4 linked regions of the Lytechinus pictus genome follow. The protein of the gene in region 3 binds, or shares a complex with, the protein of the main gene of each other region. Links are inferred from orthologs where the notes say so. Each region holds a gene or a part of one and is shown on either strand. Other genes may lie near its edges.

Evidence for each region.
Region 1: glycosylphosphatidylinositol anchor attachment 1 protein-like (region 3) and GPI transamidase component PIG-S-like share a complex: the UniProt entries of both Homo sapiens proteins name them as parts of the GPI-anchor transamidase complex. The link is inferred for Lytechinus pictus from reciprocal best matches to the Homo sapiens genes GPAA1 and PIGS.
Region 2: the proteins of glycosylphosphatidylinositol anchor attachment 1 protein-like (region 3) and phosphatidylinositol glycan anchor biosynthesis class U protein-like are in contact, whole or in part, in a cryo-EM structure (PDB 8IMX), measured with the Homo sapiens proteins. The link is inferred for Lytechinus pictus from reciprocal best matches to the Homo sapiens genes GPAA1 and PIGU. Residues at the interface, in NP_003792.1 of Homo sapiens: Gln245, Leu310, Arg311, Arg313, Phe358, Leu359, Ile371, Ala389, Leu390, Trp393, His397, Leu500, Ile504, Leu508, Cys512, Leu515, Thr516; in NP_536724.1 of Homo sapiens: Tyr349, Ile355, Phe356, Cys360, Ile363, Val364, Leu367, Leu368, Val371, Leu372, Leu375, Ile377, Tyr378, Ala379, Gly380, Ser381, Phe386.
Region 4: the proteins of glycosylphosphatidylinositol anchor attachment 1 protein-like (region 3) and GPI transamidase component PIG-T-like are in contact, whole or in part, in a cryo-EM structure (PDB 7W72), measured with the Homo sapiens proteins. The link is inferred for Lytechinus pictus from reciprocal best matches to the Homo sapiens genes GPAA1 and PIGT. Residues at the interface, in NP_003792.1 of Homo sapiens: Arg97, Ser98, Val99, Gly100, Glu102, Tyr104, Arg134, Ala135, Pro136, Arg137, Ala138, Ala139, Ser140, Thr141, Glu142, Arg171, Gly172, Gln173, Ile174, Tyr199, His200, Asp201, Val202, Leu212, Gln213, Gly214, Arg215, Ala218, Arg311, Tyr312; in NP_057021.2 of Homo sapiens: Gln91, Gly92, Phe93, Arg95, Arg97, Tyr98, Ser108, Phe211, His212, Thr213, Ser214, Asp247, Phe249, Ile250, Arg340, Gln355, Tyr357, Val358, Ser359, Gly360, Tyr361, Gly362, Leu363, Leu371, Tyr373, Lys441, Asp459, Pro460, Asn461, His462.

Annotation. Positions count from the first base shown.
Region 1 is NC_087245.1:38,640,765-38,647,816, reverse strand, and holds the start of GPI transamidase component PIG-S-like, read right to left. Parts: upstream 3,023-7,052; 5' UTR 2,915-3,022; coding exon 2,878-2,914; intron 1-2,877. UniProt on the Homo sapiens protein: Component of the glycosylphosphatidylinositol-anchor (GPI-anchor) transamidase (GPI-T) complex that catalyzes the formation of the linkage between a proprotein and a GPI-anchor and participates in GPI anchored protein biosynthesis.
Region 2 is NC_087246.1:56,750,979-56,758,513, forward strand, and holds the start of phosphatidylinositol glycan anchor biosynthesis class U protein-like, read left to right. Parts: upstream 1-4,521; 5' UTR 4,522-4,545; coding exon 4,546-4,675; intron 4,676-7,535. UniProt on the Homo sapiens protein: Component of the glycosylphosphatidylinositol-anchor (GPI-anchor) transamidase (GPI-T) complex that catalyzes the formation of the linkage between a proprotein and a GPI-anchor and participates in GPI anchored protein biosynthesis.
Region 3 is NC_087256.1:9,673,115-9,680,216, reverse strand, and holds the start of glycosylphosphatidylinositol anchor attachment 1 protein-like, read left to right. Parts: upstream 1-4,093; 5' UTR 4,094-4,178; intron 4,179-7,102. UniProt on the Homo sapiens protein: Component of the glycosylphosphatidylinositol-anchor (GPI-anchor) transamidase (GPI-T) complex that catalyzes the formation of the linkage between a proprotein and a GPI-anchor and participates in GPI anchored protein biosynthesis. Binds GPI-anchor.
Region 4 is NC_087246.1:41,756,711-41,763,577, forward strand, and holds the start of GPI transamidase component PIG-T-like, read left to right. Parts: upstream 1-3,842; coding exon 3,843-3,859; intron 3,860-4,140; coding exon 4,141-4,199; intron 4,200-4,595; coding exon 4,596-4,705; intron 4,706-5,223; coding exon 5,224-5,505; intron 5,506-6,867. UniProt on the Homo sapiens protein: Component of the glycosylphosphatidylinositol-anchor (GPI-anchor) transamidase (GPI-T) complex that catalyzes the formation of the linkage between a proprotein and a GPI-anchor and participates in GPI anchored protein biosynthesis.

The sequences.
Region 1 (7,052 bases), on a different chromosome or scaffold from region 3:
CTTTAATCAAGGCGCTCATTTTGTTATAATTTTATAATGACGCTTAAATATCGAAATCAATGTAGACGAGTCTGTGCAGGGGCATAACAGGGGTATATAAGAGGGGGCATATATATATATATATGTGGAAGATAAAAGTTACGTAATGTAGGTCCCGAGCACTAGCGTACCTACGGGGGGGGGGGGAGCAAGGGGGGGCAGACACTGCCCCCCCCCCCCCCGATGAGTCACAACCCATGCAAATGACGTATCCCTGCCCCCCTGACGAGCTTGAAAAAAAGTATTTAAAAAAATGGTCACTAAAAATAAAATACTGTCATTTTGTCCGTGTAATATTTGGCAAGCCCCCCCCCCCAGGTTAACATAAAAAAAAAAGTGAAGGTCATTTTGTCCTGCGTGAAATTTTAAAAGTAATAAAAAGCTGGTCACTAAAATTGAAGTTCATTTTGTCTGTGAAATATTTGGCAAGCCCCCCCCCCCCAAAAAAAAAAGGTTCTAACTAAAAATGATTGAAGGCCATTTTGTTCCTCTTAAAATTTGTCAAGTATAAAAAAAAAATCACTAAAAAATGAAGGTCATTTGTCCCACATAAAATTTGGCAAGCCCCCCCCCCCCCAAAAAAAAACGAATGAAAGGTAACTGATAATGATTGAAGATCATTTTTTCTTGCGTAAAATTTTACAAAAAAGTGTGTCACTATTTGGCGAGCCCCCTACCCCCCCCCAAAAAAAAAGGTTTAACTAATAATGATCGAAGGTCATTTTGTCTCTCGTAAAATTTGACAAAAAAAAGAAGTTGTCACTAAAAAAAGAAGGTCATCTTGTCCTGCGTTATATTTGGCAAGCCCCCCACCCCCCCATAAAAAAGTTTGTCACTAAATATAGAAAGTCATATTGTTCAAAGTAAAATAAATTTGAGAAGCAAAAAAGGGCAAAGAATATGAACAAAATATCCCCATTACAAATATTGCTGTGATTCTCATAAGGGAGCTAGGTGGGGGGGGGGGGGGGGACATAACTTTGTATGAACGACATATTTTCTTTTTTACATCCAAAATATTGACTATGAATCTCAAAAGGTGGAACAGGCCAGAAATGCTCAACCCCCCCCCCCCCCGATCTGCCACTGATTCCAATCTAGTATAATGACTTTTCTCTGCAATACTGATGCTTGAAATCAAGATACTGAAGATTGATATATTGTAATATAAATTATGAACGTCTGACAATAAGATAACCAACCGATAACAACCGATCACCTGACCGATCAGCTGACCAGTACGTGAATCACATCGGAGTTGATCAGTCCTCACAGCGTTTGGAACGCTCACCAAGAATTCAAGAAAAAAGACTGAAAATGTAAGTTTAACCTCAATCCATTAACTTTTAAACATTGTAAAAGATTATTTATGATGTTTAAAACTAATTCATACCAAAAATTTTACCATCCAATTTGTATTAAGGCGTACATTTGCCAAAGTCCTTGGGTGCAAATAGAAACGGCAATGTCTAACCGGTTTTATCACTTATGTCGCCTATGAGGTCCATACATGTAATGTTTGGACCTCATTGGTACTAGGAGTGATTTTACCTCCTATGACCGAAATTGGTGTCAATACACCATTTGATTAATTTTCTCCCTCATATATTTTCATGTGCTTTTGTATATGAACGTGACACAAAATAAAAAGGGGAATCACTGAAAATAACTAAAAAAAGAAGGAAAGGAAGGAAGGAAGGAAAAAAGAAAGAAAAGAAAAAAAGAAAGAAAGAAAAAGGGAAGGTGAATGAATGGGTGAAGGAAAGGATGAAGGAGAGAAAGAAAAAAAAGGAAAGAAAAGAGATGAATGGAGAAGAAAGAAAGAATAAAGGAAAGAAAAAAAAAGGTTTCCTCCATTCTTTGAAATCAATAAAGAAAAAGGGAAAGAAAAGAACAGGAAAACGAAAGAAAGGGAAAATGAATTAATGGGTGAAAGAAAGAATGGAAAGAAATAAAAAAGCCGGGGGGGGGGGGGGGGGAGGAAGAAAGTAAGAAAAAGAGGAGAAAGAGAGAATGAAGAAAAAAGATTTCCTGCATTTTTTTTAAGAAAAAAAAGAAAACAAAGAAAGAAAGAGAAAGAAAGAAAGAAAGGGGAATTTCAGGAAGGAAGGAAAAAAGGAAAGAAAGAATAAGGAAAAAGAGAAGGAAAGAAGATACAGAACGAAAGGATGAAACTTTAGTGGAAGGAAAGAATGAAGTGAAGAGAGAATTTTTTAAAAAGAAGAAAATAATGGAAGAAGGAAAAGAAAGAAAGAACAAAAACTTCGGAAAAAGAAAAAGGAGAGGAAGGGAGAAGCCAAGGAAGCAAAAAAAAAAATGAAGAAATTTAAAGAAAGAAGGAAAGTACAAGAAAACAAAGCAAAGGAAACAAAGAATAATGAACATAGAGAGAGAGAAAAAAGATCAGGAAAGAAAGCTAGGAAAGATTGAAAAGATAGATGGAACAAAAAAGGCAAGCGGGAAAGATAGAAGAAAGGATAGAATTAGAAACGAAAAAAGAGAAACTTCGCCAGAAAGAAAGAAAGGTAGCAAGTAAGGATTAAAAATTAAGGAAGGAAGAAAGAAAAAGAAAGAAAGAGGAAGCATGCAAGCTGGGGTCCCGTGATCCTTTGCGTATATCCATTTGCGATAAGGTCTAGGCCCTACTCTATAGCTAACATATGACACACAAAGTCTTAATTTTTAAGTTTAACAACTTATTACAAGAAAGACGCGCATACGTTACACCAATCTCCACACATGGGACCGAAGGTCACTGAGATACTGATTGGTAGCTGGAACTTAATTAATCGACACTAGAAAAAATATTTAACAAAGTTATAATTTTATCTTATTTACCTGAACTCTCCTCGCGTTCTGACCCTTGTTTAGCCATAGTTGAGGAGCAAATAAATGCTGAATCAGCAATTTACGCCAAAATTTCACTCAGAGTCTCACAGTCTCAGACTCAGACTCGGTCAAATCTACAAATTTTCCAGGCGATACCGGTATTGCGCGCGCGCGGCCGCGGGTACCCGACTACCCGATATCGCGACGACCGGCGTCGTCTGCTATTAGCGCATCTTTTTTTTTTTGGGGGGGGGGGGGATATTGTAGCTTTTGTTGTGTTTCCAGTACTTTTGCTCTAATCTTATTTTCATACATTATTTTTTATCGCATATCTTTGCATTTTTCTTCTTTGTAGTCTCAATGCTGCATGAGAGCTAAGGCCAGAGATAATTTACTTAAGTCCACCCCAGAAAAAAAAAAATCAATAATAGAGAAAAATCAGACTAGCATAACTTTCAAAATTTCATCAAAATCGGAGGTAAAACAAGAAAGTTATGACTTTTTAAAGTTTCGCTTATTTTTCACAAAACCGTGATTATGTACAACTCAGTGACATGCAAATGAGACAGTCGATGATGTACTTCACTCACTATTTCTTTTGTTTTTTATTGTTTGAATTCTACAATATTTCATTTTTTACAGTTTTGACAATAAGGACCAACTTGACTGAACCATATAGTATTAAATAATATGCTACTTCCACATGATCATGGAGGAATTAATCATTGTTTCACTTGACAATGAGGAGATAAAATATTTCACATTTCATAAAATAAAATACAAAAGATATAGTGACGTGGATGACATCGTTAGGTTCCTCATTTTTATACCGACCAGGATGTGCATATAACTGTTTTGTGAAATTAAGCGAAACTTTAAAATGTCATAACTTTTTTCAGTGTTATGCTTGTTGGAACGTTCTCTTTTTATTCAAATAAACTTTTTGATGGGGTGGACTTGTCCTTTGATTGTATTTGAACTAAAGTGAGTAGGCCTAAATGAACGGAATGATCAATGAATAAATGAATGACTGACTGACTGAATGAACAAATGAATGAACGAACGAGTGAATGAGCGAGCGAACGAAGAAACAAATGAACAGACAAATGAACAAACGAACGAAAGAAAGGAAAAGAAGAAGAAGAAATAGATAGATAGATAGATAGAAGATAGATAGATATAGATAGAAAAATAGATAGATAGATATATAGATAGATAGATAGAAAGATATATAAATAGATAGATATTAAATAGATAGATAGATAGATAGAAAGATAAAGATGGTTGCACCTTACATTTGCTCCGGCGAAAATTGCTCCGATGGAAATATCTGCAAGTTATAGCCAAACATAAAATCCAAACTCCAGAAATAAATAAGTTTTGAAATGTTGTGAATTAAAAAATTATTCCTTAAAGGAGAATGAAACACTTGGAGCAAGTTAGCTTTTGTGAAAGCAGAAAAATCAAAAAATAAGATCAACAAAAGTTTGAGTAAAATAGGACTAGCAATAAAAGAGTTATGAGCATTTGAATGTCGAGATCACTAATGCTATGGAGATCCTCCCATTGGCAATGCGACCAAGATCTGTGATGTCACACACGTACAACTCTCCCATTTGGACACTGAAAATATACCCCAAAACATTTCTTTTTGCTCATTCTAATCATATGACAAACGATTCATCAATGATATAATGTTGTGAAACCTCTGTACTTGTCATCTCATAAAGAGAACACCTCACCTTGTGATAGACTCTATAAAAGTGAGAATATAAGTGAAATAAGTACCAAAGTAATGAGGGAGTTGTACGTGTGTGATATCACAGATCTTGGTCGCATTGCCGATGGGAGGATCTACATGGCACTAGTGATCTCAATATTCAAATGCTCATAACTTTCTTATTATTCATTCAATCTTCCTCAAACTTTCAACAAAATGTTTCTTTGATTTTTCTCTTTGATATGGATTCAGCTGGTTTCAAGGGTTTCATTCTCCTTTAAATCCCGGGAATATAACCATAAATATGCCGTTCGGGTATTAATTGCACTCGCATGATTTATTAAGGCTCTGCTTAATTGAGAGTAAAGCTGAGATATATCAAATGTACTCAAAAAGTTTATAGGACTGCATGCATGCATGCCCCCTCGAAAAAACTAACCCCAAATCAGCTGGATGAAAATATCTTTCTGCTACCTCCCCCTATTGGCAAAAGCTGGATCCGGGCCTGGAACTGAAAATATATTCTATTCCCTTAATTCTACTATCTTCATTATCATATCATCACGTGACGGCCCTCTACCGTGAATATAATCCAGGCTATCCGGGATCAACACCCATGCAGTGACCCACTCCTCCTTCCCTAGCCCTACCCTTGAGGACCCCCCCCCCCCCGAGAAGAGAATCCTATCCCCATATATAGAGATATATTATCAGTATCTCTCATAGAGATATGGGGCCTATTGCACGAAAGGGTCTTTGCAAGAACCGTCTTTCGTGTCGCCCATTTATTAAGATGCGCCATGTGAATTAAACGCATTTTAAATAAATTACCTGCAAACATATTTTATTCAAATCTTTATTTACATAATGATGTGCTATATCATGAAATTGTATACAAATTGATTTAAATGCTAGCAAACAAATTTTATTTGTTTATCGTACATTTAAGAATTATCCAGCATACAGTGCGTCATAAAAGATGGGCGACACGAAAGACGGTCCTTGGAAAGACCCTTTCGTGAAATCGGCCCCTCTATAAAAAATCCCTCTGACTATCCCAGATCAGAAAGAATATACCATTTCCTGAATATCACGTGACAAAGAATATTAGCATGTGACAAGGACCTTTCGATCGATCACGTCACGTACGTCTGCTGCGCCTTTTGTAGATCAATCATGGGCAGCAAAATTGTGGGAAGAAATGAGATAGTTTACATTTATTTACATTTCGAATGTTGACATTGTTTGGATGATATACAGAGATAAAACTTTGACTGTAAGAAGGGAAACAAACAGATCCGGTGAGTTAGTAATAATAAATGGCAGGTGCACATTGAGGTTGGAATTTCCGCACCAGCTTATCCTTTGCTCCGCCATGGGCATGGCCCATGTCCGCCAGGCCCTGCCCCCGGCTCTGCCCGTAGCCTTGGCCTGGGAATACGGCATTGCCATTGGCCTTGGCCTGAAATGAAATGGCCAAGATCACGATCGCGATCATCACAACATTGTGTGACTGTGCCATATTAATTTGATTATGGGCATAGACTGAAAAAAAATAAATGCTCGGATGAACATTTATTTTAATTTATTAAATATTATCGGGCATGTTTGTTTGTAGTACTATTGTACTTGTAGACCAAAACTTAAAACAAAAATAAAAGCTTCTGTCTCTGTTATATTTGTTTGGCTGAAGCTCAACTCCGTTGGCTCCACTCACTAATTATTACAGAGACTGAAGTTCTAACTCGATCTGTACAGGGACTCAATGGCCATATGTTTATGTATTAAGTTCAGATAAACCAGGGAAGTGGGAGTTGCGCGACAGCCGAAGCAAGTCACTTTTTAAAGTTTTTTTCCTTTTAATTTAAGTTTATTTTTCCCCATTTTGGTGCATTTCAGGCCAAAACGAAATAATAATCTTAATTTTGGTCCAGTTCTTTTTGTATATTTTTATGAAATAAAGACAAAAATCTATGAATGAGCCCCGTTGGGGGATTTTGCATTGTTAACCCCCTAATGGCAGCTGCACGATCGCGAGCCGTCTGTGTATGAGGAGAAATTAAAAAAAAATGAAAATGTTAAAAAACTCCTCGAAACAGACGGCTGCCAGCTGTAGTTTGTTCGTAACTAATCATGCTAAGTAATTGATGAGCTGGATCTGGGCATTTATTCAGTGAACAAGGTTGGATCTTGGGGTATGACTTAACTCTACTTAGAGTCGCACTTACTAACATTTATTATCGTAAAATAGCCTTACAACAGACATACTGAAGCTTTTAGACATGCACTCATCGGATTAAAATCCCATGAATGACTAAAATGCTAGAGCAAAACAATAAATAATAGATATGGAAGGCACTTGCTTTATGGCAGATCTGTTTGATTTTTTTGGGAAACTATCTCCTGTACATAATACAGTACGGTGGTGCTCAAAAGTTAGTGAACCCAACCAGAAAATGAACAT
Region 2 (7,535 bases), on a different chromosome or scaffold from region 3:
TTATATTTCAGCAGTTCTGTATTCCATCCTGATCTGAGTAGCAATTTAATTTACTCACTGCACCTCGTACGTACAGTAAAAATAATGTTTAAAATGTTATACAATGCTGTGTACTATATGAACTGGACAGTAGTTGTTTAACAGTTTAAACATGCGACCATGCTTTAACATTGAAGATTAGATATTAAATATGATATTTTTGTTTAAGAATCAACAACTGTAATTTGATGTATGAGGTTTTTAAACTATTATTTTACGAAACGCTTATTCTCCACTTTCTTCAGGTTAGAGAGAGTAAAATTTAACGAGCAAAATTAATAAGATGAAACATTCGATATCTTTATATATTATGTACATCATTATTGTATTATATTGTTATTATTATATGATATTATATTACTATCATAATAGATATTATTATCATTATCATTATTATTATTAGTAGTAGTAATAGTATAGTAGTAGTAGTAGTAGTCAAGTAGTAGTAGTAGTAGTATATTATAATCACTTTTATCATTGTCATTGCGTCGTTGTCATTGTTATTGTTATCATCACCATCATCATCATCATTATCACCAGAAGGTATAAAAATAAAAGAGTGTCATGAATTTGAAATGAATGGGTTTTTATCAGTATCTTATTGGAGAGCACCGTATATATGCATAATAAACTATATACAGTTCTGTTTGCTGTGTGTGGGAATATTATGCAGTTATTTAATTCAAATGAACAAGTCTGATTAGGGTTAATGCCAGAGAAGAAAATATACTTATTAAAACAACTCGATGACCGAACCCATGATTTAAACAAACAAAAATAAATGTAACTCTTGACTCATTGGGCAAACATGAATCGGTGAATAACTCCATAATTATTTGTTTAAAAAATATCATCAAAGTTTTTATAGATTGATAAAAACTTACCTCGCTCAAGTTATGTACTAGTTATGCAGTGGTATTTTTTTCACCCAAGATACCAAAGTTTATCCAACTCACTAACTAGAGGAAAACAATTATACATCTGTACGTTATTTTGTGGAGAAAGAGATATACAATTAAGGCCAACACTACGGCATTCCATCCTTATTATTGATTTCTCCACCCATTGACAATAATTTGGAAGATCGATAAGTCCGTTCCATTTTAACTTTTATTGATTTATTCCCACAGTTGGTAAATATGTGAACGACTTGTAACAGGCACTTGAACGGTGTTGGAGTGTCAATGCTAAGGCCATCGCGGTGTAAACTGGTAATGTGGTGTTAAAACTAACACCATGCAGTTGGTATCTCTATAGAGGAACACACAACGAGGTGTTGAAATTATACCCTATTAGAGTTTGAATATAGGCCCAACACCAAACCTTTTAAAGTAACAAGTGTTGAAAATCACTATTTGGTGTTGAACAAACACTACAGAATTATCACCGGTGTAAAATTATTGGTGTGGTACTCATGTATACAGCATAACACTACAGTTTATGCTGTCAGGTATACGCTATACAATCCGAACAATATTAAGCCCCATTGAGGAGAGGGTCACTCCCCCCCCCCAAAAAAAAAAAAAAAAAAAAAAAAAAAAACTCGACCAATGGAGTGGATCGACTTTACCTCCGCGAGAAATTGACAAGCCCCCCCCCCAAAAAAAAAAAAATAAAATAAAAGGGGTAGTCTCATTTGCAGACCCTTCGCTCGAGTTGTGACTATAATGACTTGGTTACTGAAGGCCCTCTCTGTGTGAAAGAAAGAGCAAGTTGTAATTGTGGTAGTCTTGTTAATCAAAGTTTTAATCGGGGTCTGTGCGGCCTGCAGACTAGGATGGGGGGGGGGGGCTTTTCAACCCCCTAAAATAAGACAGGTTGGTGAGGGAGCATGCGTAGGCAAGGCAAGTATGCGAGGGAGAACAGCGAACAAGTGACATCAAGACTGATAATGTTCTATAGGCAGATCCAAGAATGCTGCGGCTACATGCATTCTTTCCCCTCCGCGCTCGCATTATTTCTTAAGTCTATGGAGATATCTATCTTGCTTGTAAGAATAAATATGTTCTTATACCATAGAGATATATACGATTACTTCTACTCATTAGATTGGACTACACCCAGAAAAAAAACCCAGCAAAAATCAGGATTTATCAGTCGATCGGGGAAAATTTTTTTATTGGTGAAAGCTGGAGCCGCCCCTGAGGCCCCTTAATCGAAAGTAATCTGTTCAGGGAAGTATGATGGTATATGTATGGCACCTATAAGCCTCCCTTTTTCGCGCCTTGTCAGCAGTTTCAAAGCATATCGTTTTTCCCCCCTTGTTCACTCACCAAACCGTTCTCTCCCAGAAGCCCTTCATTTCTGGTGAGCGTTTCATGAACATTTTCATCCGACAAGTTGTCAGATCTGACAACTTTCCCTGTTTCTGATTGGCTTGTAGAAACAGTGTTACTATGGTAATTGTCGGATAAAACAGGACTTGTCAGATCAAGGCCTTTCATGAAACGCTCCCCATCAAGAGTCAGTTCTCGAAGACCCATTTTCATGTTAAATTCTAGTTCCCAAGCACCCCCATGTAAATTTACTTCAGCACCCCCAGTAAAAAAAAATCGTTCCCAGAGCCCTGCCATAATTATGCAAGCGCCATCTTGTTCTTAAGCCCCTCATCATAACAACTTCAGACTTTGGGGCTGCGCGTCCACATCCTTTCCATTCCACCCCCCCCCCGGCACTCGTTCACGAGAGAGTAACAAAACATAAATTATGACGACATTCATTCACATCTCTCCACTACTGCAAAGGAAAGATCGGGTAAATGACTAAAGATATCAATATTTCAGGTAGGGGGATGGTCTGTGTTATCATCCCTCCAATAATTTAAGTTCGAACATTATATTTCAACGTGATGAATTGTATGACAAATTATATCAATTATTAATATAATAATTGTTATTATTATAATTATTGTTATTATAGTTGTTATATTATAATTATACTATTAATAATAATCATGATGAGTATCATGATGAATTTCGCGATGGTTATCTTATTTACGGATAATGACCATTTATATTGTTTCGCTTATAATTTTTATTATGTTTATTGCTGTTGAATGAAACAATTTCTTTGGAAACTATGATAAACAGATGCTAATTGGAGAAAGAAAATATTCCAGGATGAAGTAGAATAACACGTTCATGATGATGTTTTTATGCATGACGTTTTGTTTTTTTAATTTACCCCCCCCCCCCCGCAACCAATCGCATGTTGTGTGCCTACTTTATTTAAAATATTACTTCATTTTGTTTCCCTAATTCAAGTTTATATAAACAAGAGAAGAAAATATAAAAGAAATGATATTGAAATTTAAAAGAGTGTGTAAAAGAGATATATCCATGAAAACCGATAACGGTCATCAAAATGCACTGGATCATTTTCAGGTCATTTTTTCTTTAAAAATTCAGCTAGCACTTCGCGCTCGCATTATTGATATAGTCCTTATAAGTACTAGTATCTAGTACTAGTATTGTGGAAAGAAAGCTAATATTATACTTAAACTTCGGTGTTAATGACTACCCCTCCTCCACTATAGCTGGCAAACCAGACGTGAGATTTGGAGACCATGGACCCCCCAAAAAAAAGTTTCATGCAAGAAAGAGGGAAAGAGGTGAAATATGATGTTATTTAAAATGTTTTAAAATTTTGCTCGCTCACAGCTTTTTATAGTGCCCGTTTTATGCAATGTCTGGATCCCTAAAAATGTTAGACTCGTAATTCCACTGCCCCGCCTCTAACTAGTAGAAAAAAATCCCTCACAGAGAACAATATTTTGTGTCAGTCACCCCCCCCCAACCATGAACACCGATCGACACCCATGGTTGTGGCAAAACTTTGCTTACTAAATTTTCACAAAACAGGTAAAAGAGGAAGTCCTTAATTCGCTCACTGTTTCTTTTTTTTCTTCATTATTTGCACAATACAATATCAATTATTTTTACAGATTTGACAATGAGAAGGTCCTACCAACTTTTCAAAACAGTAAAGTGTTCAAATAATGGTAATTCCACATGTTCAGGGAGAGACGCTGTTTCATGTGACAATGATGACGAAAAATAAAAATGTTGATAGGCCTATGAAAGAAACTGTGAGTGGGTATTGTCATCAGTCCCCTCATTTTTATACCGACCAGGATGTGAATAAAACTGTTTTGTGAAATTAAGCGAAAATTTGATATGTCATAACTTTCTCAGGGGCCGCGGAACTGTTTTCAAAGTGGGGGGGGGGGGGCTGACCATTCAAAAAATCACCGTTTCTTATGGTAATTTTTACGTTTTTGTACAAAGTTTTTGGAAAAAGGTAGGGGACTGAAGCCCCCCCCCCCCCCCCAGCACCCCCACTTCCGCGGCCCATGTTTCTCATTTTACATCCAATTTTGAATTGTATAATGCTTGTTTGATGTTTCTCTTATATTCAAATCCCGGTTCAAATAAAATTTTGGTTTGTGGTACATCGTGAACTAACCACATGTATGCCGCAGATGGCGACAAACAGAATGCTGATAAAATGGCAGCTTCCATGGTTTTTGTTTCTCTGATTGGAGTGACTGTGAGATCTGTATTGTTTTACTCATTTGTATCAAGCTGGCTGACCGATCGAGTTGAAATTTCTACACCTCTTACATCATGGAAATCGAGTGAGTGAAACAGATGTTTAGAGGTCTTTAAAGACTTCTCTGTAATTCTCATTGAGCCGCCGAGGCGAGGCGAGAGTTAGTTAACCCAGGCCCAGGGAGCAAATCAGCAATGAATGGCATCCCGTCTCGTCCGCGAAGCGGGCCGGAGGCGGAGCCCAGCCTTAGGGCCAGGACTCGTCCGTGTAATATTACTATTTAGGCAGACATGGAATATGGATACTTTCCAAAATGGGGTCGCAATATAGCACTCCAAATAAAAGGGGGGAAAATAAATTATGCACTTACCTCGATTATAATTAATATGGATGAAGGTCATTCTAGCAAGGCGGCTTCTTGAATCTTGAGAGTAAAAATCATTTACTAACGTAGGCTTACTTAGTCTTAGCCCACCCACGGCTACATCTCAGCCGCCGACTACAGAATAATTGAAGGCACGGCGCATTCAACAAATAGCGTTAATTTACGAAAAATTAATACGAGGACTTACCAATCCTACGAAACTTACAAAATGATGTGAAGTCAATTCCTCATAATTTGATGAATATCTCTCAAAATGCGTCATTTAACTTAAGCGTTGATTGTTCTTCTCATTGACAAAATACGAAAGCTACCTTTCTAGCTCTCAAATTTTTCCTCTAATGAGCGAAAGAGGGCGCGCGATTTATCTTCATATCAAAGACACTAAAATTGAAAGACTAGACACAGAAATTATCTTACACGTAAATCGATGCAAAGCGTTACGCGAAGTCGGCAAAGTGTTCAATCTTTTTACTGTAAAGACTTTGGTGGAACGTTAATTGACAAACGAACGGTAGCACTTGCAGGGCTTTGTTCAAGGTACATAGAATTTTCTATATTTTTTGTTTAATTTGTCATCGTTTTGAATATTTTCCAAAAAGTATTATCGTCAGCAAAAATAATAAAAAAGTATGTTTTTTAAGTTATTGCATTTATTGGGGTCTCTATTTTATCAAACAATTATTGGAATTGCGCATACAATGAATCATGAATCTAGTTTAAAAAATACCACCAAGCTGAATTAAGGTTGCGAACTGTATTAGCGCCACCAACGACCTTCCTTTTATTTCCGTGGAAGAGACGTGCGAAGCCACCCAGGCGGAGGTAAGCGATTTTGCTCTTTTTTGTGTCCTTTTTAAATTAAAAAATATGTTAAAATTGATAATGGAACGCTTTCTACCAGAATAAGCCCTGGTGAGTAGCAGAATGGGTTTCGGCTAACATCATTCACGTTATGAAGCGATGTTAACGACAACTCTAAAATCCACTACAAAAAGACGTTGGTTGTGCGAGGTTCGTATAGCATATACTAACCTCGCAATAGTGTGAGTGTACTTAGCCTGGAGGCGTCTGGGGAGTAAAAGTCATATACTCTACGTATGGTTACTCCCCGAACGCCTGACGTTGCTACATATAGGCTCCCAAGCACCGAGGGAAAAGGCAACTATAAAAATGCGCCAAACTGCTAGTTATGTTTAGAATCTGAGGTTAACACTTCTGTACATGGGTAAAAATATTGGTTGGCAACGTTTGGCAAAAAATGAATAGTTATGGTTACAGAATGACGAATAAATGACATGAAGTAATAAAAGTAGAAGAGAGTTTACTTACACTTGTTGACATCGCCATCTTTGATCCTTTGTTAATGCAACCTTGTTACATGACGCATATAGAGGGCAGCAAAATCATGAGTGGTGCTAGATTAAAAAGTGCTAAAATGTCCCGCTTCAACTTGCTTCAACTGGTCTATTGAAGCAACGAGAGCGTAGAAATGTCGGAAATGAAGTTTTATCCCATGTACCGTAAGTAACGGACTATAAACCGCACCCCCAACTTTGGACTAAAAAAAAAAAAATGATAATAATAATCCTTCTCACATTTACATGCATATTTGAGGTACGAAGAAACAAAAAAGATTTCAAGGTATCCAAAGAGATTACCGGTATGCGGAAATCTGCTGTTTGATCAATTCATCTAAATGTTAGCAAGAAAGAAAGGTCCTGACAATATTGGCCACTTACACACTCACCTCACAGTCACAGTGTACACACACACAGCACTGCTGTTCTTACATTGCAAACTACGATACGGTACCAGCAGTACCTCTTATCAAATTATGATGTGTCTTTCCCGGCGTAGGAGGAAGAAACATTCACATTTCTTGCATCACAACCTCACAATCACTTTCAGAATTTGTCTAGCATTCGATGTCTTAGCATGAATTTTGGATACGGGATTACAGGAAGGTTCAAGAAACAAAGAAATTTGCATTTTTTCCAATTGTTTTTACGGCTTCGTGCCGTCTCTCTCGTTGCGTGGTGTACATGGTATCTTATGAAAAGCAAACGAGAAAGAAAAAATAAGCTGGCGCGAAACGGGACTTTGGAGGGGTTAAAATGAATAGCGCCAGGTTAAGTCGCACTACATAGCCACAATACAACGCAAGCTAGCTCTAGCTCTCAGCTCGCTCAACTCTCGTTCAGCTGTGACAAAATATTACCGAGTATGCTTGGTTTCTCTTTGAACTTAGCCAGGGTACTTCGCTGTTTTGAATCGAGAATAAAGTCGAAATTAGTGTCATGAAGGTGGGTGCGTTTGTTATAGACAATATTTGATTAAGATCGTAATAATCGCTTCCCATTACCCGCGGCTCATACCCCACTAAATGACATTGCCCTGGGTGGCTACGCCCGGCCACTCGATGTGTTGTGAACTGGCAGAAGTCTTACATGTTCGGGAGGGGTTACGGCGGGCTGGCTTAGACCCGTCACCGTGGATAAACCGCACCCCCGTTATGCATCTAAATGACTAATGTCACGTTCGTTCTCGGTATTGATCAGCC
Region 3 (7,102 bases):
TTTTTGTGTTTTTTGCCAACTGCAAACTTGTAGACAAGTCTACAAGTTGTAGACTTGTCTTAATGAATTTGCCAACTGCAGATTTACCAGTTTTTTAAGTCTTGTGTTCTGTTCTTTTCAGATCTGAAACGGGGCAGTACTTGTACATCACTTTGCTGACTGGTAGAGCGTATAGTGTTCTGCCACTTTATAATTTGCCAACTATACTTTGGCTTTGATTATTCAACTTAAACCTTGGAAATTCATCCCACCCAATATTTATGTACCTAGTCTTGCCTCTAATTTTACAAAACTAATGTGTTTGTTAAATCGTCAATAATTGTGGTATAATTTGCAAACTAACAAGCTTGTTCATATTGGGGGAGGACCGGGGGCTTACTTTGTGTGTTATTATAGCACCATCTGTTTTGTACTTAGTATTTTGCTGACTTGTAGGGCAGGCGCGTAGCCAGGGGGGGGGGCGGTGGGGGCGGTCGCCCCCCCAAAAAACGTCCCCAAAAAGAAAAAAAAAAGAAGGGAAAAAAGAGAGGAAAAAATGAAAAGGGAAGGGAGGAAAGGGAAGAAAGGTAGCTTTGTCGGTTTTTTTTTCTTTTTATAATTTATTTTTTTTCTCAAAAGAGAAACTCCTTCACACTTGCTTTAGATTTATATATGAATTTTGCTTCCGCGCTGCGCGCGGTTAAATGACAATATTGAAGTTCTCCATTGTTTCCCCACCCTTTCTCTAACTCTGCTTTTCCACCTCAGCTATATGTGTTTCTTGCCAGTTAAAGTTCAAATGTATAGATTAGGGCATGGAATAAGAGTAAGGTTAGGCCGAAGTATATGAAGTTATCTTTTTTTTATTGATCGCGCAACTTCTGGTCGGGTCGGCTCCGGGCGGGTAAAATCTTTATATCAATTTATGCCGTCACCTCCATCAAGTCAACTTCTCCCGCTTTTCAGGTCATTACTAAACAATCATAATTTGGGGCAAACAGGTTCCTAATTTAAAAAGAGGAATGTATAAAATTCGTGTCGTATTAAATAAAAAAGTACAATATTTTTTTCAAATTCTATTAATCTTCATGTTATTTCCCTGCACATTCATCTCCTGTCCTGTTTTGCGCCCTCAGTTTGAAATTTTGAATGACACTTAGGTTTCTTTATAATTCAAAATGAAGCGCTTCAGGATAAGTCAAAGAAATTAGGCATCCTTTTTTATATTATTTTAATAAATCACAGAAGTTTCAACTTTTTGCGCACTATTTTCCTTGTAATGAAGTTCAATAATCTTAGGAAATCAATTGAATTAGAGCCGATGGGGTATTAGATATATCTGCATTTGATGAAACGTCCGCCCTTTGAAATTTCAGAGTTTTATTGCTCTGCGCGGGGAGGAATATCTTCCTCCCGGCATATACACTTCTTCTCCTCTGTTTTGCGAGTTAAAGATATGCACTGTCGCTAAATTGTTTGTAATCAAATCTGATATTTCCAAGGGAAGTATTCAATATATCTTTGAGAATACCCTTTTCTCGGGACCCTTTTCATGGCAAAGAAATTGATAAAACGCTTTAGCTTCCGCGCTTCGCGCGGGGTTATAATGATTTTAATTTCCTCCATTGTATTCCTTTTCGTGCGTTCACAATCACTTTTGAAAACAAGGTTCAAAATCACAATAAAGTCAACTAAATTGGAGCTGATATAGGTACTAGAGACAAGAGAGACGGCTCCTTTTCATTTTAATTTATGAAACACCAAAAGCTTCGCGCTTCGCGCGGGAGGGGAAACTCCCCCTCCCTGCACCCACCCCCTAGGAAGCGCTTCGCGCGCTCTGTAAGTGTAGGCACGCTTCGCGTGCATTTACCGCCCCCTCCAAAATGAAATCCTGGCTACGCGGTTGTTGTAGGGCTCTAAGCCTGGCAACATGGACTTGGATTTGCCAATTGGTTGTCTTTACTCTAAAAGTCGTAACCTTCTTCAAAGTTAGTACCCCTATTTTCCTTTTTTTTTTTTCTTTCTTTCTTTCTTTCTTTCTTTCTTTCTTTCTTTCTTTCTTTCTTTCTTTCTTTCTTTCTTTCTTTCTTTCTTTCTTTCTTTCTTTCTTTCTTTCTTTCTTTCTTTCTTTCTTTCTTTCTTTCTTTCTTTCTTTCTTTCTTTCTCTCCCCTCTCTCTCTCTCTTTCTTTCTTTCTTTCTTTCTTTCTTTCTTTCTTTCTTTCTTTCTTTCTTTCTTTCTTTCTTTCTTTCTTTCTTTCTTTCTTTCTTTCTTTCTTTCTTTCTTTCTTTCTTTCTTTCTTTCTCTCCCCCTCTCTCTCTCTCTTTCTTTCTTTCTTTCTTTCTTTTTCTCCCCTATCCTCCATTTTGCCAACTGGTACATGATTTTGCCGACTGCCACGAATGTTGGGGGGTGTCGCACCCCCCCCCATACCCCCCCTCTAGCTACGGCCCTGCTTAGGCGGATAATACGGATACCTTTCAGATATAGTAATGCTAGAAAAAAAAACTCACGAATAATAAAGAAATGTATCTAATAGCTCTGAAGGGGAGAAAAAAAGAGAGAGACGAATTGACCTTAAATATTGGTGAAAACCTTTTTTTTTTTTTTGCTTATTGACTTTTTGGCGGACGGATTATTGACCTTAAATATTTTTTTCTTTTTCTTTTAAACCAGTACTGGTCTTCTTTATTTGAATAAAAAATATACACGCATAATTTTAAAAAAGTACACAAACAAAAGTTCAACAAGCTATTCAGTATTAAATTCCATTTGCTAATATTCATATACACATTTTCCTTTCGTTTACCTCTCTCATTATCATATCTATTTTCCAAAACATATATATGAACATAATATTCAAATCATAAAGCTTCATCTTTTCATTGTAACTAATGTTATCTTGTGATATTTGTAAATCGAATATAATGCATTATTCAATATTAAATTCCTTTCTTTTTCTTTTTCTTTTCTTAAACCGTAAACAAAGATTTTGAACTAGACACCTTCTTATGAGTGCTTCAACGTATTTCCAAAACTTATCAACCTCTGTACACAACTAAAACAAATGTAATAAATCACTCAACTTATTGCACTCACTACCTGAATATATGTGTTTGTTAAATTCCATTTTTTTTAAGTTACAGAGAGTAGGTAGTAAATTATACATAAAATTGAAATTAAAATGGGCTATGGTATTATCTTGAATACTTTTGAGTTTCAGTGTCCATGTAAACAACCAAGAATTTTTATTTTCTTCATCTAAAATTTCTATTCAAAATAATTCGGCCCTTGATTTTTCAACATCTAATTGCAACATCTCTTGATAGATTTGTTTTACTCTAGATTTACAATTAAGCAATGTATTTAAAGATGGCATGGATAAGGAGACAACTTAAATATAGTTGGCAATTTTTTTTATTACTTGTCAAATTTTCAATGGGTAAAATCATGCCACCCCTTTTTAAAAATCCTGGATCCTGTACCACCCCGAAAGTTTCAACTCTGGATCCGCGCCTGCCTAATATATAGTAGCCTAAAAATAACAATACAAATAATAGTAATATATGATGATGGTAATAATGATAGCAATTAATAATAATATCAAAAATTATTAATAATAATAAATTAATAATAAACTGGTGCATATCCAGTATTCTGCACCCTGTGGGCCCACCAAAACCGCGTGCGCGAGCAACATAGCTCACGTGCAAAAAATCCTTCTTTTATGAAGCTGAATAGGCCTACCTTTATTTTAAAAACATTTTTAAACAGAATTATAGAAATCATAATTTCGGAAATATTGAAATTACATTAAAATTACACAAAGATATATTTTGAAACATTTATCAAAGTAAATAATTATAATTACTGCCTTAGAAAGATTTGATAAATATGGAACCAAAAGGCGGCTCTCCTATCGTTTCGGCCAAATTTGAACCAGTCATTTGGATCTGGCGGGCCCGATCGACTAGCGGTTTTGTACTGGCGGTACTAATCAGCTAGCCGTTTTGGACCGCCGGTTTCCGGGCTAATTCGCCAATGACACCGGCCTGCGCCGCTCGCGCTTGCGCTTGCACGCGATAAAAATATGCGCATGCGACGTACGTGCGCTTTGCACATACGTTCCGCTGGATTGATTGCTGTCCACTTAGCTTGGCACTGACTTGGACTTACCGCAGAATTGCTCAAATTATATAGGTTAGTAATTTTAATATTGATTAAAAGTTTGTTTGGTTATAATTATTTGTTATGATTTAGATGTAGAGCTATCATATTGGTCTCATTTTGTAATTGATAGGAAAATCTGATGAAGTTAAATTATGCTCCTTCTTCATGGTCATGTCCTTGGACCTTGCTTCCAACACAATTTCTTACACCTGGGACTGGGCTTGGATTCGGGACGAAGTCGGAGGCACATGACGTGCATGTGCAGGGAGGGAACCCCGTCGGATCGCGGTCGCGAGCCGTGTTGACGTGGTCGTGGTCCGAACGGTGAGTACCGGGGGGGGGGGGGGGGGGCACTCACATAATTATTGGTGGTACGCAGTCAGACCGCAGTTCCCTATGCTAAAAAAGTAATGAGCAAAAAGACCAGATTCATCCAAATCATCTCGTGGCTGAATCCTCCTCCGGCTCCGGCCTCCTTGCAAAATCTTGTTGTGATTCGTGAGATTTTCTTACTTTCTCTAAGAATTTACCTGTTTTAACAAATAAATTATTATTGCACTATCAGGCATCAGATAGAGTGAGTAACTTGTTAGATGTTATTCTCTCATATTGGTCATTTATTTTGTATAGGGGCCTACAATATTTTGATAAATAAGTAAATTTCTGGCCTGAAAATGTGCCTCAAAACTGAATTTTCTTCCTCTGTTTTCTTTTGCAAATTGTGCATAACTTTTTATTTTGAGCCTCAATGATATCACCATAAAGCTGAACTTCTGGGCTGGGCCTGTTGCATGAAATGGTCTTTCGTAGAACCGTTCTACGTAAGAACGAGATATCGCTCAACTGTTACAAATTAAAGCCGATACCACTCATTCAATGAACAAGGTTATGAAATAACCTTGTTCTCAGTTATATCTCCATGTGTGGCAAAATAAGGATGGCAATGTTTGGCTAATTTTCTCTTTTTCTTTGGGACAAATGCTTGATTTTTTTACACTGACAGTTTTCATTACACCTATTCGTCATACAACTTGGCCCTTAAGTAAATTTGATTCTTTAAATTATTTTTTTCTTAAAGTTGAATTAAGAAGACGATTCCAAATATTGAGATATTTACATTAATAGCAACCTTACAACCCCCCAAACACTTATAGGTGATACGACCCCCCATTTTCTTTTTTCAAAATAGTGAATTTGAACGATTTATCCCTACCCATTTTCCCTGAGTTCGCTCCTGCAATGCCTACCGAGACGGGTGTTCTTTGAGTGTGACGTCACCGGGGGGTATTCGGTCCCGGTGTAGTAAACAAGGCAGTGCCGTTTTGTGTACTATGCACGTACTCCTTCATATGGAATAACTGCAGTTGAAGTTGTATCTGCGAGCCATAGAACTTGCAAAGAGGAAATGATTAAAATATTTGTGGCCGTACTATTATTCCAAATATGTGAATTCCCTCAGAATGATACCATAGACCCTAAAGGAATAATTTCAAGGAGAATAATATGAAATTTGATCGAGATCTTCTCACCAGTCGATAACGTAGCAGACGTGTTATTATGACATATTTATCCGCGTGTGACGCGGCTCTTGCAAAAAAACACAGTTGGTTGCGGAATTGCTTTGTGCCGACCGGCCGCCCGCTCCGGCGCAGCTAGCTGTCGAGCTACCGTACCGTTCTTGTTGTCTTCAACCATAGAGATGTATACTAATTACTATATATCTTTCTGTCTTCAACTCACTTCCGAATTGCGTTTGTATGTGTGACGGTGACCCCTAGCGTAATTAAATATAGAAAACAGCTCAGAAGGCCGAGAAAGAATACTATACGTTTGGTTCAAGATTGTTCTGTGGAATGAGCTATGAGTGGAAATGATCCAGAGGATATAAAAGTGGAGTCAAAGACAAAAGAAAAGAAGAAAAAACGCCAGGGGATCGCTGCACGGCCATGAACTAAGTCGACATACCAGACCATAACAGTACACTCAATGCCTGGGTGTTGTGTGTACTAGTATTATGCGTTCAGCGCGCGCTGAGCTAACCGCCGGAATTACTTTCCAGCTACTCACTTGATTGAACATCGTGATAAAATAAATGAGAAATAGTGAAAATATCATTCAATAACTCACTGTTTGCTATCTTACATCATGATTGAAGAGTTCATGGTGGTTATTCATACTGTTTTTTATACAGGGAAAGTAAAGATTTGTACATATCAGTCCTATTTGTTTGATTTGAGTTGCTTTGAAAAAAAATTGTAAAATATCTTTCTCTCTCTGCATAGCATTTCTGTATGACATTCAGGCACCTCTTATACTAAATTCTCCCCGGTGACGTCACACTCCGAGTGACTTTTCTGTACACTCGTCTCTCGAGCTCTGACAGGTGGCTAATTTCATAGACTTTCAAAGCAAAATATCGAGAAGGCAGAGGATTATTGTGACATGCTATGTGTTTGAACAACTTATATATACTATATATTGTATGTAGAACCTATATTTATGGAAACTCACCCCCTTCTTAATTCAACTTTAATTAAAAACAGATAAAAAATGATAATTTTCTTGCCATATTATTTTCCACCAATAGAGGGCGTACACAAAAATATGCCAAAAATTAAAGTTTTTGAGCGCTCTAGTAAATACAAAAATTATTCCCAAGTTACTAATGAAAAATAAATTGCAACTGTATGGAAATTAGTAATTTTGGTCACAAAAGTGATATTTTAATCATTTTTTAAAGTGTGTGCTCTGTACAGCATTGGCATGCCATAGTCCAACCTGTAGATTCCCCACAGGCAGGGTGGTTGCAGTGTGGTTGCAGTGAACAAGTGGGCGATTCAAACACATGACCTGAAAGAATGATTCTTCTTCTTTACAATGATACCAAAATCATGAAGTTCGATGCACAATTAGAGCAGCAATGACCGAATGAAAAATTGTGTTTTGGTCCTCAT
Region 4 (6,867 bases), on a different chromosome or scaffold from region 3:
GTTCTTGAAACCCAATTCTGTGGGGCAACCATTTTCTCTATTCGGCCTTGCCTCGGCTCCAAACAAGCAGACCTCAGAGCAGCAGATTTATCAAATAAGGAGAACATTTGGGTATTAGCAGTTGAATATGGCGGCTCCTTTGGGCCAACTGACATATTCATGTAAAGGGTGATTCCATACGTGTCGTACGGGACATTTAGAGAACATTTGACAGTTTTTTGACAAGAAAAACTAAATATATTCCAGTAACTAAAGGTGATCATCAAGTACTACCAGAGTGTTAGAAAAACAAAGACTTAACATAACTTGAATTCACATCCTGTATAATACAGATTTAAAATAGTAATGTGTCGTACGGACGCAGAAAAAGTGACTTTTTTAGAAACCTCAAGTTTGTACTCTAAAGTCTGTGAGTTGGACAGATAATTTTCATAGAAACTGAACTCAAATTGATATTCAATTACCCAAGAACAAACACATCTATGAAAGAAAGCAAAATAATCCTTCATGAATAAATAAAGCAAATTGCAATTTTCGAGAACATTGTGGCGTACGGGACACTCAAAATGTGTCGTACGGGACATCTCTAAATTGAAGCCAAACTTTCTTACTTTATGTCTCTTTGACTTCTTCAATCACTTTATTTGGCTGATGATAATGATAATCCTATCAAACTAAAGACATTCATTATGTTAGAAACCGCTATTGGCTGAATATTTCTGTCAATTATCATAAACAAAATAATGTGTCGTACGGGACACTTGTGTGTCGTACAGGACACTTCTGTGTCGTACGGGACACTTGTGTGTCGTACGGGACACTTGAGTGTTGTACAGGCACTTGCGTGTTGTACTCGGCAGCCTGAATAAAACAATGAACTTTTTATTAATCAGAAGGGGAGCATTGCCCCTAAATTCTTCCTTTTTAATGAAAAGTCTTTTAATAAGTAGTCATTCAGGACAATATAATTAAGTAACCTCAATATATACAATCGGAAGCAATATGTCATCATTTTATTTTCATGATGGGAAATGTACAAGGGTTCACAGCATTTTTACGGGCTGAAAAACTTGAGGTTTTGTGTGAAGTTATATTCAGTGAATTAATTGATGATTTCCAATACACTATTTAAACAATGAATGAATGAAACTGTTTGTGTAAATTATGGGGCTAAAATGTTATAATTTTTCATATAAAATGTATATATACATGACAACTGTCACTTGTAATTCCACAAAATATATTTTTCTAAAGAAATTTTTTTCTACTTGTTCAAACCTTTCTGCATTTCATGAAACCATATGGTTTGTCTTATTTTCCAGATTTTTTTGTGAACAACATGGTTTGTCTTATTTTCCAGATTTTTTTTACAACTTGAAAAAAGTAAGGAGTTTCAATATTGTATATAAAAAAGTAAGTGATCATCAAGGGAAGTCCAAATAGATGATTGATATGTAATTTTTTTACATCTTATAATAATTCCACATTAGCATGCAAGAGGAAGTCATCTTCCAGGCTAGGGTGAATCAATTATAAAGGTTTTCTTTTCACGCTCAATGACAAAGAAATTAACCTGCTCTGACCAAAGAAAATCACCAGTTTAGCTGGAGGGATTCAAAAAAGAATACGCCTACATGAAATCAATTAAAATGGTTAGAATCACCTATTTCATGTTCTATGGAGATAAAAAAAGTACCTTTTCAGTACACTTTATGTCAAATCAATTACTTGAATTAAAATAGGTCTACTATTTATAGTTTCTGAATCCAAATCATGTAATTAAATGCATTATGTATTGTGTGTCGTACGGGACAACTATTAATAGGACAATTATTGAAAAATGAAGGACAGTAATTAGATCCTTATGGGATAAATCGATCACCCATGGGTCAAAGATAGAGAAACTGATTTTGTGAAATTGCATCATCAAAAAAAAAATTGTAGGAAAAACTTTTGCACTTTCATGTGTGGTACGGGACATTGCCAAAAATAGGTTCGGAAAAATCAGGGCTGCCCCTATTATGGATCATGAAAATGTTGTAGATATTATTTGGAACATTCAATGATACATTATTCCATTGACCTGCTATATTTTCAGTCTTCTCGTGCTTTGCCAATAATTGTTTCAGGCAGTGTTTGTACTTGACTATTTAATCAGCAAAATTATTGTCCAGTTGTCATGACGATTATCCGCCTTTTTCAAGACGGGCGCTCGTAAAAATAATTTATGGAGTTTGTGAACGCAATTTTTATTGAATTATCCGCATTACTCTTAGGCGGCTAATTGGAGGATATGTTTTATTGGGTTTATGAAAGGGGTATTAGACACTCACCAGAACTACACACATCGCAATCCATCGTGTGTGGCCCCCTGCTGTGACTGTATATGCCGGGCTGTTGTGTTATCTTCAGACCGAGGTCAAGAAACAGGTGTTTTGATACTTAAACTGCTTGCTTGGTACAGTTAGGGTATGAGGCTGTTCTCACTCAGTTCCTGAAACTAGTTTAGTGGAAACTAGTTTAACGCTAAGTGAGAACGGTCGAAGCGCTCTTGGAAGCGCTCTTCCAAACCAGTTTGGAAGACCACCTCGCGATGTAGTTTTCAAGATCGCTTCGCATCGGAAAAGTGGTTTTAGCGTAAGTGAGGACACAACCGTTCTTCGGGAAGCGATCTTCGCACATTTTGAGCGCGCTACTCCACACGACAGGTGTAGAATGCCTATGCTGCGGTTTCGAATTTCGCGCGAAACGTGTCACCCCACTGAGAGCGTTTCCATAGCAACAAGAGCGCTTTACGTGAAGTGATTTTGAAAACCACTTTCGTGTGATCAAGTGAGAACGCTAGCAAAGCGATCTTCCAAACTGGCTTTCTGAACCGGTTCCCAGTAAACTAGTTTTAGGAACGTAGTGAGAACAGCCTCTTTGTCTTACTTGGAGAAGAGAATTGATGAGAAGGGAAACTGAGGTATAGTGTTCTCAAATTGAGGTTTTCGTCATGATTTGTTACTCTTTTGGTTTTATATCAAATTGAGTATACTTATTCTTACTCTAGCACGAATAGTAAGTACTGTATAAACAATAGTATAGAATAATTTACAACGTTCGAACCGTGAAATCTTTGCTGTTCTCGATAATTCTTGTCTGGTCTCTGACCCTGTACTCTAGGCTGAGCTCGATTCAAATTTCGAAATAATGTGTTGATGTACGTCCGTCCAGGCCAGTCCGCACCTCCGCTCGCTCGATGCAACTTACAAGTAGTTACGGGGAAGGGGGTATGTACATGGTCGGCTTGTATAAATAGCCATCGAAGTCTCCATATCACTATAGGGTCTGGGAAGGAGACCGCCAGGGGGACATTCCCAGCCTGCACAAGGGGACGTTTAGCGATAGGTCAATCCTTGGATATTTTTTCCAATCTACTCCCTTTTTTAGGCCGGGGCAATGATGGGACAAAATTTGAGCGGGTAGCCAACGCACCCGCGCTCTCTGTGCCTGCTGGCAGGTTTTTTCTGCCCGCCGGCGAGGTTGTGTTCTCATGTTCAGTACTTGGTGGGGTTTCCATGCCCACTGCAATATTGGGTTCTTTATCAGGCGGATTTGAACTCAGACATCGGCAGCGGTGTAAGAAAAAGAAAATTAGAGGCACAAAAGTTGCATTTTATCACCTGTACAATGCACTTATGTGTTGTTGGAAGGGCGCGCGGTCGTGAAAGAGGAAGTGACGAGGGATGTAGGTCACAAGGTGACCCTGACGGGTTGCACGCTGTATGTGCCAGGGGCATGCAGAAATTATGTGGGAGATCTTACCAGTGTTGTTGAGGGTGGGGTGGGGGTGAATAGCAATGTTTAACAGGGACAGGTGAGTATGCCTCATTCGTAAATAAGACACTCACTGACTGAGTGTCGTTCTTTACTATACATTCAGCTAAGTTCATCTCATCATCTTGGCTAGCAGCCCTCTTTTCTAACACTTGGTTTGCCTTCTCTTGCTATTCAAGGTGCTTCTCCGGGTCCAGGTTTTTCCCTTTTAATTCAGTTATTCTGTGACTCTCAAATTCCAAGGTCCTCTGGTTCTTTTTATGCTATCTTGCATTGACTTGACTGCCTTTTCCATGATCTTCTCGAAATTGTCTGTTGCAGCTTTAAGATGGACTGTAAGCTGAGGTATGGCCAGGGGAAGTGGTGGAGCGTGCAGCATGGTTAGCTGGGCCAGTAGGGTCGGCAGCATCACCTTCCAGTTCATCGTTCAAGATATTGAATCTTCCACTGGTCTCAATGTTGGATTTATTAACAAATTTATCTCCTTTATAAGACATGATAAATATTATTAGTTACAAGTCAACAAGGGTAGTAAGAACTATCAACGTAATATGAAATATATGATTGAGAGATGGTATATATGGTGATAATGAAGTATCTAGGGAGATACTGTCACTTAGTTAGCAGCCATTTGGTCTTATTCGGTCTATGTTACAACGTATAAATGTCAAGTCATGCTTGTAATATATTACATAGAAACACTGTAAAAGATTTTGTATGAGCTGTTGCATGAATTAAATTTTTTTTTTTTTTTCAATTTAATTTGATGTACACAGAAGCATATGGTAGAAACACAAGTCTTCTTCGCCATGCCAGTCTTCCACGTGAGGTGGTATGCACTGAGAACTTGACCCCCTGGAAAAAACTGCTTCCTTGTGACTCAAAGGTATGTGATTAAATTAATTTTTGCTTTAAAAGTGCATGTATTATTTATTGTATAATATTGGTATCTCATTATAGGTTTAAGGTAAGCAGGATTTCAATAACGTGTGTTTGATATTTATCCTTGTATATTTGAGGATTTTAGAATAATCCTAGTATTTCAGGAAAGAGTGGACTGAAATTCTTGTTTAGTCAGGACTGATTTCTGGCTTGCTACACCAAATTTGTGAGATGCCTCCAAGAGGCTGAATGAATTTTATAGGGTACATTTATCTACAGTTTGTGAATTCCTCAAAGTGATGCCTTGTAGACATATTTTCTAATATCTACAAAGCCATACAAGAAAACATTTTCTTTAAGGAATAATTTATGAATGTAAATTTAGGAATTAAGCAGAAATACATTCTGTTGCATTATATATATATTCATTCTCTTAAAGTATAAAACAACTCTGTGATGTGCATGGTGCACGATGTTATAAAAAAATGTTGATAACTTGTTCATCTTTTTTTTTCTTGGAAGGCTGGTCTGGCATCACTCTTCAAAGCTGATAAGTTGTACAATGCCCATTATCATTCCTTGGCAGTCGATATACGACCAGTTTGTCGGTCAGGAATGATCCCTTGTAGGGAGTCAGCAGTACAGCTCAGTCAATCACTGAATGTTGTCTTTGGACCCTTGGCACAGAACAGACAAGGCACTCGCCAAGATGTTTCTTTGAGAGTCCTGTTTGGGAAGGTTTTGAGTGGTCCATGTCCAATGGCATCTAGCAGCAGGGTAATCGTGGATTTATCAAAGAATTATGTAAGTCTGTTTGGATTCAACTTCAATGAACACTTTTACTTCAGTTTATGTAAGTTTTGTACATTGTTATACCAAAATACTTCATTTAGTAAGGTGAGACGTTAATATCTGAGCTCTCATGCCGTGAAGTTCATGAGGTTGAATTTGTATATCAATAGAGAACCCCTGCGGCCATCGCGGAGTCACATAACCAGCCTGTGCAGCCGTGATTTTGGCACCTGCATTTTTTTCGCGGGCATTGGGCCAGCAAGCTAAGAGTTCTTCACGGGTTCATAACCTGTATTGTTTGCCATGAGAACTTGTAGTAGTGCAACTATTGTGATTCGAGCAATATTTTCGCCGTGCGAAATTTTTTGACCACGTCGCTTGCTGAATTTTTACTTTCAAGTCTTGTACAACTTTTGAGACCAGTTTTGTGTCATCCAGGTACGCCGTTCCGAAATTACGCAACATTATGTAAGTGCATGTCAGACCAAAAATTTGCTTAAAAACATGATTTCGTGTACAAAGTCAATGCAAACTGTGTTTTCAACCAAAAATCATAAATGTATGATTATTTTTAGTTTTGCCAGTCTAAATGTATTTATTTTATGCTGTTTATGATCTCAGAAGAGTCCCCTACAAATTTCATTGTAAAAACAATGAAAAGCGAAAGGTCCAAAAAAACAAAGAAATACATAAGAAATTGCAAAAAACAATATAATACATAAGAAATTGATCTGATATAACAATTTTTTAATGTACACTTGCTAAGAACAGCACAACGTTTTTTATACCAAAAATTAGAACATTTTGAGCTTTATTTAGGGAGCTAAGGGAAAAATATGATTTCACATACTAATTACGCATAAATAATAGCATAAACCCTAATAGCAATTTGCATGAAATAAATTACTATACAATATTGTACATTATGTCCCAGACAACCTGCGTGCCAATTTTCGGCGCGATTGCATGGCCAATGGCCGAGATCTCAAGGGGGGCCTGGGAGGACCGCCCCCCCCCTCCCCCCATAATTAGCATAATCACTTAATAGCAATTTGTATAATATAATTTATAGCAATAAATAGCATTATATCCCAGACAACCTGCGTGCCAATTTTCAGTGCGATTGCATGGCCAACGGCCGAGATCTCACAGGGGGGGCTGGGAGGACCCCCCCCCCGGCCATATGAACTTCCAAAATACCCCGGCCTAGATAGGGTTAAGGGCAGGGCTCGAAATTAGCGGCTGCCTGGGTGCCATTGGCAACCAAAACTACCAGTGGGCAACCTGAAAGTCCCGCCATGGTTGCCCTGATGTCAACCAAGAAAATTCTGGATTTTTTTTTCTCAAATAGAATAAAATTCTCCGGAATTTTGC